Linked DNA regions of Schizosaccharomyces pombe. The protein of the gene in region 1 interacts with the protein of each later gene in a pairwise test. Each region holds a gene or a part of one and is shown in the gene's direction. Other genes may lie near its edges.

Region 1 (3,804 bases):
TTTTTGGGATTTGCACGTACGATGTAATTCTAATAACTTGTCCAACAAGTCAATGGCTAAAGCCACTTGATAATCTGAGCTTGTCTCTAAAATTAAATTCTCATCATTCTTCGTAATGCTAGCAATTAGGTCTAGCCAATTATGCTTTTGATCTAGTAGAGTCGGAATGTTATCTGACCAAATTTGTCCTGAGAGAAATACAAGTTAGCACCTCAAAAGTTGTCTCAAAAAGATTTGAAGCATTGGTTAGAAAACGATTTCTCTCTTCGTTTTTTCAACTTTTACGCTCAAGTGTTTAATAACTACTTACCATGTAATAATGCGCAGTTTGACATGCCATTTCTTCCAAAGATATGTGCTAATTCTACGATTGCATCGATATCATCTTCACAGCGGAAAAAAGGATATCGATGTGTTAAAAAACACAACAAAATGACTCCCACTGACCACACATCAATTGAGGATGTTTGATTTTGGCATCGAAACAATACCTCAGGCGCTCGAAATCCTCTTGTTCCGGCTCGGTCAGCACGTTTTGTAGGCCTTGGATCATGTAGCAAGTAACCCTCTGGAGGATCTGCTATCGTTTTCTCAAATGGAAAATAATCGTAATATTTTCCTTCTTGCTTCAGTTTTCTCAATTTATCGACACAGCAATTTTCTGTAGGTGCATCTGCCTCTTGCCATTGAGCTAATCCAAAGTCAAGTATGACTCCCCTTTGGGTGTAAGGATTCCAAGCAAAGTTACCTGGTTTGATATCTCGATGAATTATGCCCTTTGCATCTATATGTGCCAACCCTTTCAAGAGGTCTCTTAAGTACGCACCAATTTCTGGAAGAGAATATTTCATATAGAAGTCCCGGAACTCTGCATGTTGTATAAACGGTAGTACAATTAACACTTGATCTTGATGTCTTACAGCAGTTATCATATTTAGTACACAATCACTGCCTCGTAGTTCATGTAGCATCTCAAGTTCAGTTTGGATTCTTGAGGGAAGAACGGTGGCATAAATTCTTTTCAATGCAACAAAATGGTTTTTTGGTCTCTTGGTTTTGTCATGGGGCATCTGATCTTCTATTTGAGATGATATCCAGTAGGAGTTATCGTAGCTATCGAAATGTCTATCCACCGCTTTAAAGACGCTGCTAAAACTTCCTGCTCCTACTAACTTAACCACATGATAGTCTTCTTCAATGGTAGGGAATGCTTGCACCAATTTAGCAATTTCTGGTCGATCTTCTCGATCTACATCACTGGCGTATACACCTGAATTTCCGAAAGGTAATAGCATGGAAAGCATTTCCTGTTTTAATTTTTATTTTAGTCGCCTTTTGTTTGGTAAAGTGCGGGCTGTTAGATGAGGCACAATTTTCATTAATAGTTTGTTTGTTTGTTTACTTCGCCAAACCCAAATATTTCCCTCTAAGCAAAACTTACTTTTTGTTCCCTAAGCTTTGCTATATCGGCCCAAAGCAAATGAAAATGTAAACAAATGATGCCAATGAAGCACTCCAATTTGTTTATACAAATTTTCAATCCATGATCATCATTAAACGGTAGACAGTGTCAAAGTAAATTACTAGACCAGCTAGTAATTTAAATTACATATATTTCCTTTATAAAAAAATTTACTTTAGCTCTATAACTGGTAACATTTAGAGTCCTATTTAGAACGAAAGCATAATTTATCAAAATTTTTTAGTATGTAAACAATAAACAGCACACCTGTCATAACCAATTTTTGAGATTTCTTCAACACTTGGTTGATTCTTTACTAAATTAATTTAATATTATTATTTTTTCTGTTTATTTCTTGTACATTGTTAAAGGTTTTTGTTTATTGTTTACTGCTTACTACTGCAGTTCGTTTCCAACATAATTATATGCTAGACTGTTATAAATAGCTTTTTCTTTCTATACTTTAAGCCATGCGGATACGGCAAACGAATAACCGAAATTTATTTTATTAGTGTAAAGTTATCTGGGTTCTGATGACAGCATTTTCAACTCATATATTTCCACTCTAAAAAGGATTTACTAATTTTTTTTGTTGAATACGATAACAGTATCATTCGAATATATACAATGATATCGCATTAACGAGTACGAGTTAATTTTACACTTCCGTCCCTGGCTGTTGATGTATCTTCCGCAGACAATTGCCGTATCACTGAGTCTATGCTAAAGACATTGTAAGATTCACGTTAGAGAAGACCGTTTTTTTATTTTTTTTAAGCTACAAAGAAAACTTCGGGTTCACAAAATGAAATTCTTTCTAGGATCTGCTTTATTCTTAATCCTTACTTTTATCAATCTTGTTCGGGCTGAATTTGAGTTCATCACTCCTGCTGAAGGTATGTTTTTTATTTAATTTTTAGTATTGTAAAACTGACTTTTGTTTAAGATTCTCGATGGGCTAGAGGATTTACTTATGCTGTCAAATGGAAACAACCCACTGAACAGTTTGTCGAAATTGCTTTGCAATATGCCGACTCCAATAACACATTGATTACGAGCAGTGGTGTTATTCCTTCCAACCAAACTTACTGGATGGTAAAGATAGATAAGAAATGGCTTATGAAGATGGACAACATTACTGCGCGAGTTGTTGCTGTTCCTCAAAATGGTACCGCCAGCACGGTATATGTGGGTCCACAGGTCCTATTAGCGAACACGTTTTACTGGAAGATGGTAGTGGATGTTTCCCCTGCATTTTCTGTAAACCCGATTGACAAGAAACTTGCAATTGGGTTATCCGTTGGTTTATCCTGTTGCATACTGATCGTTCTATTTCTTCATTTTGCAACTAGGAGAGAAAGAAGGATTTTAAAAAACGAGAAAGAGCTGGAAATGTCTTCATATAGAAAGCATTAGCGTTTCTACTTTTCTGCGCCAAAAAATATACTATCTCATTCATCAGAACTGTTTCTATAGAGTAAATGGTCCATTATTAATTGGAAGGTAATACGCATTGCTTCTTAACTTTAAATTCAATGGCCTCTTTCACCATTCCTTGTCTGTCCGCTTTACTCCATTATTCGTTCCTTAATCACGCATGCTTCCAATACAGCTTTTGGGTCACATGTTTATTTATCTAAGGTACTTTTCATGTAAAATACCATTATTAGATTTACCCAAATTGACACTTTGGGTGTGTAGTTTTGCATTCTTATCTCACAACTTTTCCAATTGTCGCTACCGCATGCTCCTTTATTGTAATAATGAGGCCATCATTTTTTAGTTCTGATGGCTAGACTTTATTGTTTAATTTAGTTTTATAAAATTTTTGTTTTCCTGGAACTTGTGAGTTGTATGGTTAAAATTGTAATTAAGAGACTGATATCGCAACATTAAACGTTTAGCTAGCAAATACAAAATGTGTATCTTTTACTGTTTTATTAAGCAGCTTCGTTCGATATTCTGGTTCATTTATAATTAATATTTGTTTGATAGGTATTGCACTTTCTTTCGTGTTTGTAACTCAACCATAACCAAACACACTTGCATTGTATAAACCTCACAGCATGGATAAGCTAAATAGGACTAGATCAAGAGCATGTCTCATTTGTGGAATTGTTTTGCCTCATAGTGTTTTTGCTAACAAAGGCTGTCCGAACGATGGTGTAGACGACGTGGAAACATTTACCTCGCCAGTATTTGAAGGAATAATGGCAATGATGAGTCCCACCGAATCTTGGGTTGCCAGATGGCAGAGAATCGATACTTTTACTCCCGGAATCTATGCGACTCGTGTTCAAGGTGTATTAAACGAAGATGTAGTTGAATCTTTGCGTCGCAGA
Region 2 (5,546 bases), on another chromosome or scaffold:
AGAGCATAAACAACAACCATCCAACTTCTTCTTGACTTATCGTTTTGCTTTGGAAAATTGGTTCATTGCTATATTTTGGTAAAGAACTTTTAACACTAACTTCAGGACTCTGCTCCAACTGGATATTGCACATGTAACTTTTGTTGCAAATGGCGGCCCAACTAGTTTGTCCTTGGAATGAATAAACGTCTCCCGGTCGTACCAAGTACATTCTAATATTGCCAATCCGCTTTTGTACGCACCAAAGATGAAATTTCGTGTACTTATTGGAAGTGACCTGCCGGGACACGTAGATGATCATTGCTCTCCATAGGGAGTCCTTCATGTCGTCAGTGTAATAATCGTATAGTAAAACATGTCGAATTAATACTGGCAAGCTATAGTTGCCGGTAGAAAAATGCATCGAAAGGCTTAATCCATCTACTCGATTCTTCTTTAAAAAAGCCCCTAATCGTTTCTGCACCAAAGGCATATCTACTTTGAACTCGTACACCTGTTCCTGCATCGGTGAATATTCAGAAGACACTTGCTCAACACTTTTGAGATATAGTTTATCCTGTCGACGCATAACAATATCCACTAACCCCCCTAAAAACGGATTCTTTATGAGACCTTTATTTCTCCCAGACACTACTACGATACCCAAGCTTTTACCTGTTAAATTCTCGATGGATAGATTACGATCCAACTTGGATAACCAATCCTGACTCGTAACATTAATATTCACATCGCCCGTAGCCTTAGCAGGACTGTTGTACTCGGCTTTGCGAGATTGATAGCCCGGATCCGATTTAAAAAACTGCTGGATTTTCCTTGTAGTCTTTCTCAAGAAAGAGTTTTCCTGACCTTCATCATCAACTTCTCTCAAAATATCCAAACCCGATTGATTAGATATCGACATATTGTCGAATGTCGGTAAAATACTTTGAAACTTTTAAAACTTCGAGAATCGTAGAAAAGAAGAAAAAGGATACCAATATCCAGAATCTCAAAACCACAGTGCGTCCAACTTAAAAATAAAAGGTAATGAAATGAAGTAAAAAAAAAAAATTATTAAAATTTGGTTCTTTCCAAAGGGCTTTGTTTCCTGTTAAATACTAAATATGAAATCGTTTATCTTAGCTTAGCCATTTTGCCATCTTCATCATGCTTTTCCTAACAACGCTCCCCAAGCCACGTAAAACATCAACTTTCGCAACTCGTCCTATTTCAAGTTTACGAAGACATCCAATTTCCTAATCGTCTCTACCCTATAATATTTTGTATAATCATGGTCTAAGCCATTTCATCGTAGCGATGAGCCTCTCGTAAGTTAATTAATGGCGCAGCATATCAATTTTAATCAACTTGTAATAGAATAGAGATGATCATGCTGTCTATTGCTTATAGTTACAAGACTAGATTTCCTTTCTCAACATGCAATAAGGATTGAAAAGTAAAAATGAACTACTTGTATGAAATTTTCGTTTTCGTGCTTAATTCATGATTATGACCTTTTGGAGTCAGTGACATACACCGTTTCCATTGACAGACATTATTGAATTTTTTTTTTACAATGGGGCAACAGTCAATGTTGGCGCAAGCTTAAGATGCAAATGCAATCTTTCATTTAAAAGCGGCTTGTTTCATCAATACATTTGACATTTAACGATGGCTTGTAGGCATTGTTGTAGACATCCACTCAGCCTACATTTTGTCAATACTTTTCTACACAACTTCTCAAACTCGTTCCTTTGTAGCTTAAAAATTAAGCGAACTTAAAAACTATTAAACTTTTTGTTAAACGAATTATTTGCATAAAATACCAAAAAGATTTTTTGTTGACTTTCACCTAACAAATTAAGAGCGGTTGGTTTTATTAAAAAGAAAATTTATTAAGATATTTCTCATTGCATTCCACTTCAATGCGTCGTAGAGCATATCATAAGTAAGGCTCTAAAAATAAGCCACAAACACTGATCGTTCTTCTGGTACAATGGTTCAAATTTTTTTTTTCTAGGAAGCTCGAAAAAGAAAATACAAACAAAAAAAAATTAAACAGCTCATTTCTTCAAAAACTCCTTTTATCCTCAATTTGTTTGAACTTTGTTCTGACAACCCGCTACGAATTGGCTTGGGACCCTGCTGACGGTCGGCCTTTTCCCTATTCTCACCACGAGCACCGTGGGGAAACTGTATAGTCGAAATCTTCGAGTTTTCTTGCTCAACATTTCAAGAAAACTTTTATACTATTCAAGTGTATCTAATTGTTACTTCACTCGTTATTTAGTACTTCTCTTTTACTTTGTCAAGCAGCACAAGTGTTTGATAAAGGTCATTCTGTATAAGGGGTCCTCTGTACCATTACACCTTGTACCTTGATATAAAAGATATTTACATGCATTTTATTTCCGTTAACTCACAGAATATCAGTTGTTTGGTTTTCTTCTTACGTGTGCTGGTTTGACTTGTTGTTTCCCTTTTTTTTTTTAAATTTGCACACACAGGATTCTATGAGAACTTTGCATTAAATGGTATAATGGGAAATGGAATCTAGCCGATTGTTTACACTTGGATTGGGAAATTCCGATGATGGATTGAAATCCACTTTTGGTGATAAAACAGTAACTTGTTTTTATTGCAACAAGAAGAAGGAAAAAATTAGAGACGGAACGTCTACTTGGACTTGCTCAATTTGTGAAGCCACCAACCATATTGATGAGAAAGGTGATATCCTGGATTATCGACCTCCAACCCCAACTCAAGACAAGGGTGTTGGTCCTTTTTACGCGATACGGGATTTCCCAAGCAGTTCTTCCTTTCAGAGCCCCTTTTGTGAAAAATGTCAAATGAACCAACTGATTGTGAATCGGATGCTTGCTGATTATCTGCCAGACTCATCACATCCAGATTATCAGGCTTATGAGAAGGCATTACCAGAGTATAAAAAATCTATAGAAGAGAAATTTCCCATTGTTTGCTCTGAATGCTATGACTCCGTTCAAGACCAACTTGATGCCAATGATTATGAAGCCAAAAATCAGGTTTTAGGATATTGGCTGCAAAAGTCAAAGGAACAGCTAAACGCAAAAGTCCCCCATCACTATCCAAAAGCTTCTTTTGTTCTTTGGTTACTTCGTGGATTTGGTTTTTCGTTTTTCTATTTGCAATCGATTGTGTGGCATTTGTATCATTCTATGATAATAAGCTTATTACCAGATGGTATTCGTAATTTATTTCTAAAAGCAATCTCTTACTTCCTATTAGATGGATCCTCTAGCAAAATTTTTTACTTTAATTGGCTTGGTTTTTTCGTTGTCTTTTGGAACCCGTATTGGTACAAAATGATGGACAATCCATCTTGGGAGCTTTTTGGGCGGGATCAGTATATCCAATGTCAGGCACTTTATCTTATTATCCGTTTAACTTGCTTGTATCTCCTTTCATGTTATGAGTCGGAAATTTTGAACTTAAGCTCGGATACCAATCTTGAAAGTGATTTTTTACTCCGTCAAATACATGCAGCCTTTTTCTTTGTTACCATTTGTTTTACATGGATTAGCATCTCATGTTTAAAGCCAAGTCCTCCTCCAGAAGTTCATTTGACTGGCGAAATTTTGAAACCACGCAAGAAGCGTCAGGAAAGTACATCTTCTGTGCATCGGATAGGAAAGGAATCGAGTGACAGAAAAGATGGAATTAGTGGGCAGAATAAATTGCAGCAATTTGCGACAATTTCAATTCTGAATAATACCAACGCAACGTCTCATTTGGGAAATCAGTCTGTTCGTGAGAGAGCTCCGGAGGAATCCCCTATGACTTTTCTTCAAAAAAAAATGGCCGCCCTTCCAACATCTAGTCCTGTTCGACCGATGCTTAAACCTACTCTTCAGCTTCAAAATTCTCCTTTATCGAAACTGGTTCCTCAAGAAGTGGGCAACAAAGTAAACGATTCTATTCATACGACGTCTAATCAGCCAAGTAAATTTTCCCTGAACCCTTCCATATCTCTAAAAGGTGATAACGTGATAGAGAAGAATTTACCTTTTTCCGTGTCTACTTTAAAGTCCACTGCAAAGAAAGATACTGGTAAAGCAGGGGATGGTCAAAATCGCGAAATTCAAAATGAGCCAGTGAGCCTTGAAAGTCATTTTAGTAAGTCTTTAGCCCTTCAGAACGATCCAACAGAAGTTATTCAGGTGAAAAACGTTCTTCACCGGAATCGTCGAAATGCAAAGCTTCTCATTGCTTTCACAATTTTGTTCCTCGTTGGGTTAATTTGCGGATGGCGTTTGAATCGTTTTACTATGTTCATTTACTATTTATGCATATTGGTGTTAGCCACATATTATGTTATGAAACACAACTTTTATCCTTTAAGAAAGGTGGCTTGATCTGGTTACTATTTAAAGAAGTGGATGCAAAGTAATATGGAATATATTCTTTTGCAAACCAATCATTCATTAATTTATCCAATTTTGGAATAAATTTCGTTACTAATATTGCCAGAGGCGGTTATGTCGCTATCATTTGTTTAAAGTTTTTCAGCTCCTTTCTGGCAACTCGACATATTCGAGCTAGCGCATTCGCACAAATGGGATCCAATATAAATTTACTTTTTTTTTCCTATTAAAGCTATATAATTAAGTATTTTTCATACTAACGAGTTTTATTTGATAAATTTCATTCGTTTCAATAGGTTAGTACTGAAAGAGAACATGTAACCTGAGCAAACTTCTGGTTCATACGAATACTAGCAATGGTGCATTCCCGAATATATGTTAGACACGTCGTTAAATTAGTTTAGGTTATAAAATCGTTAGAGTTAAACAATAACTTAAGAGAAATGAGCCGAGAATACTAGGATATTCAGATTTTCATTACTTTCTAATTCCGCTCAGGATTCTATGTGCAGGTAACATCAGGTGACCGAAGGATTCATTGGCATACTATAGGGCCATGAGATCTTACCTTCTTCCAATATTCAAAACTAAGAGTTTTATTGATTTCAGTGCAAATTTTGTAGTGACGAAATTTTTTTTTGCTGAAGTGATTGTTTAAGTATGAAACCTGTGTCTCTTGCCAAGTATATTCAAAAATCACCATTTTTGACGAAATTGCTTTTACCCATCTCCAATGCCTATGTGCATTTGTCAGGATACCGTAAATATGGTCTTCGATACGACGATTTGATGTTGGAGGAGAATGACGATACTCAAAAGGCGTTATCTCGTTTGCCTAAGATGGAATCCTACGATCGAGTCTATCGTATTCGCCGTGCCATGCAACTTAGCATTGAGAATAAAATTTTGCCAAAATCTGAATGGACAAAGCCTGAGGAGGATTACCATTACCTCAGACCTGTTTTAGCTGAGGTTATCGCGGAGAGGAAAGAGCGTGAGGCCTTCGACGCTCTCATTGTTAAGAAACCCGAGACTCAAGCCCATGCAACATCTTCTCCTGCTCATGCTCATTAAAAGTTTGCATGTCCTCCTTTAATCCACTTATTCCTCTCATGAAAACCGACAAGAAAATTAAAAGAGTAGTAAACGGATGTGAGAATTTTA

The links.
Region 2: the proteins of psg1 (region 1) and ima1 interact in a protein complementation assay, tested with the Schizosaccharomyces pombe proteins (one large-scale study listed by BioGRID).

Annotation. Positions count from the first base shown.
Region 1 is NC_003423.3:3,824,678-3,828,481, reverse strand, and holds psg1 (protein psg1), read left to right. Parts: upstream 1-2,155; 5' UTR 2,156-2,267; coding exon 2,268-2,358; exon of another isoform or gene 2,359-2,408; coding exon 2,409-2,878; 3' UTR 2,879-3,304; downstream 3,305-3,804. Other genes in the region: serine/threonine protein kinase (DDK family) Spo4, read right to left, coding at 21-188, 311-1,304; DSIF transcription elongation factor complex subunit Spt4, read left to right, coding at 3,529-3,804.
Region 2 is NC_003421.2:1,887,452-1,892,997, reverse strand, and holds ima1 (inner nuclear membrane protein Ima1), read left to right. Parts: upstream 1-2,133; 5' UTR 2,134-2,525; coding exon 2,526-4,373; 3' UTR 4,374-4,895; downstream 4,896-5,546. Other genes in the region: SPOM_SPCC737.04 (uncharacterized protein), read right to left, coding at 1-901; qcr7 (ubiquinol-cytochrome-c reductase complex subunit 6), read left to right, coding at 5,043-5,456. UniProt on the Schizosaccharomyces pombe protein: Inner nuclear membrane protein that specifically binds to heterochromatic regions and promotes the tethering of centromeric DNA to the SUN-KASH complex.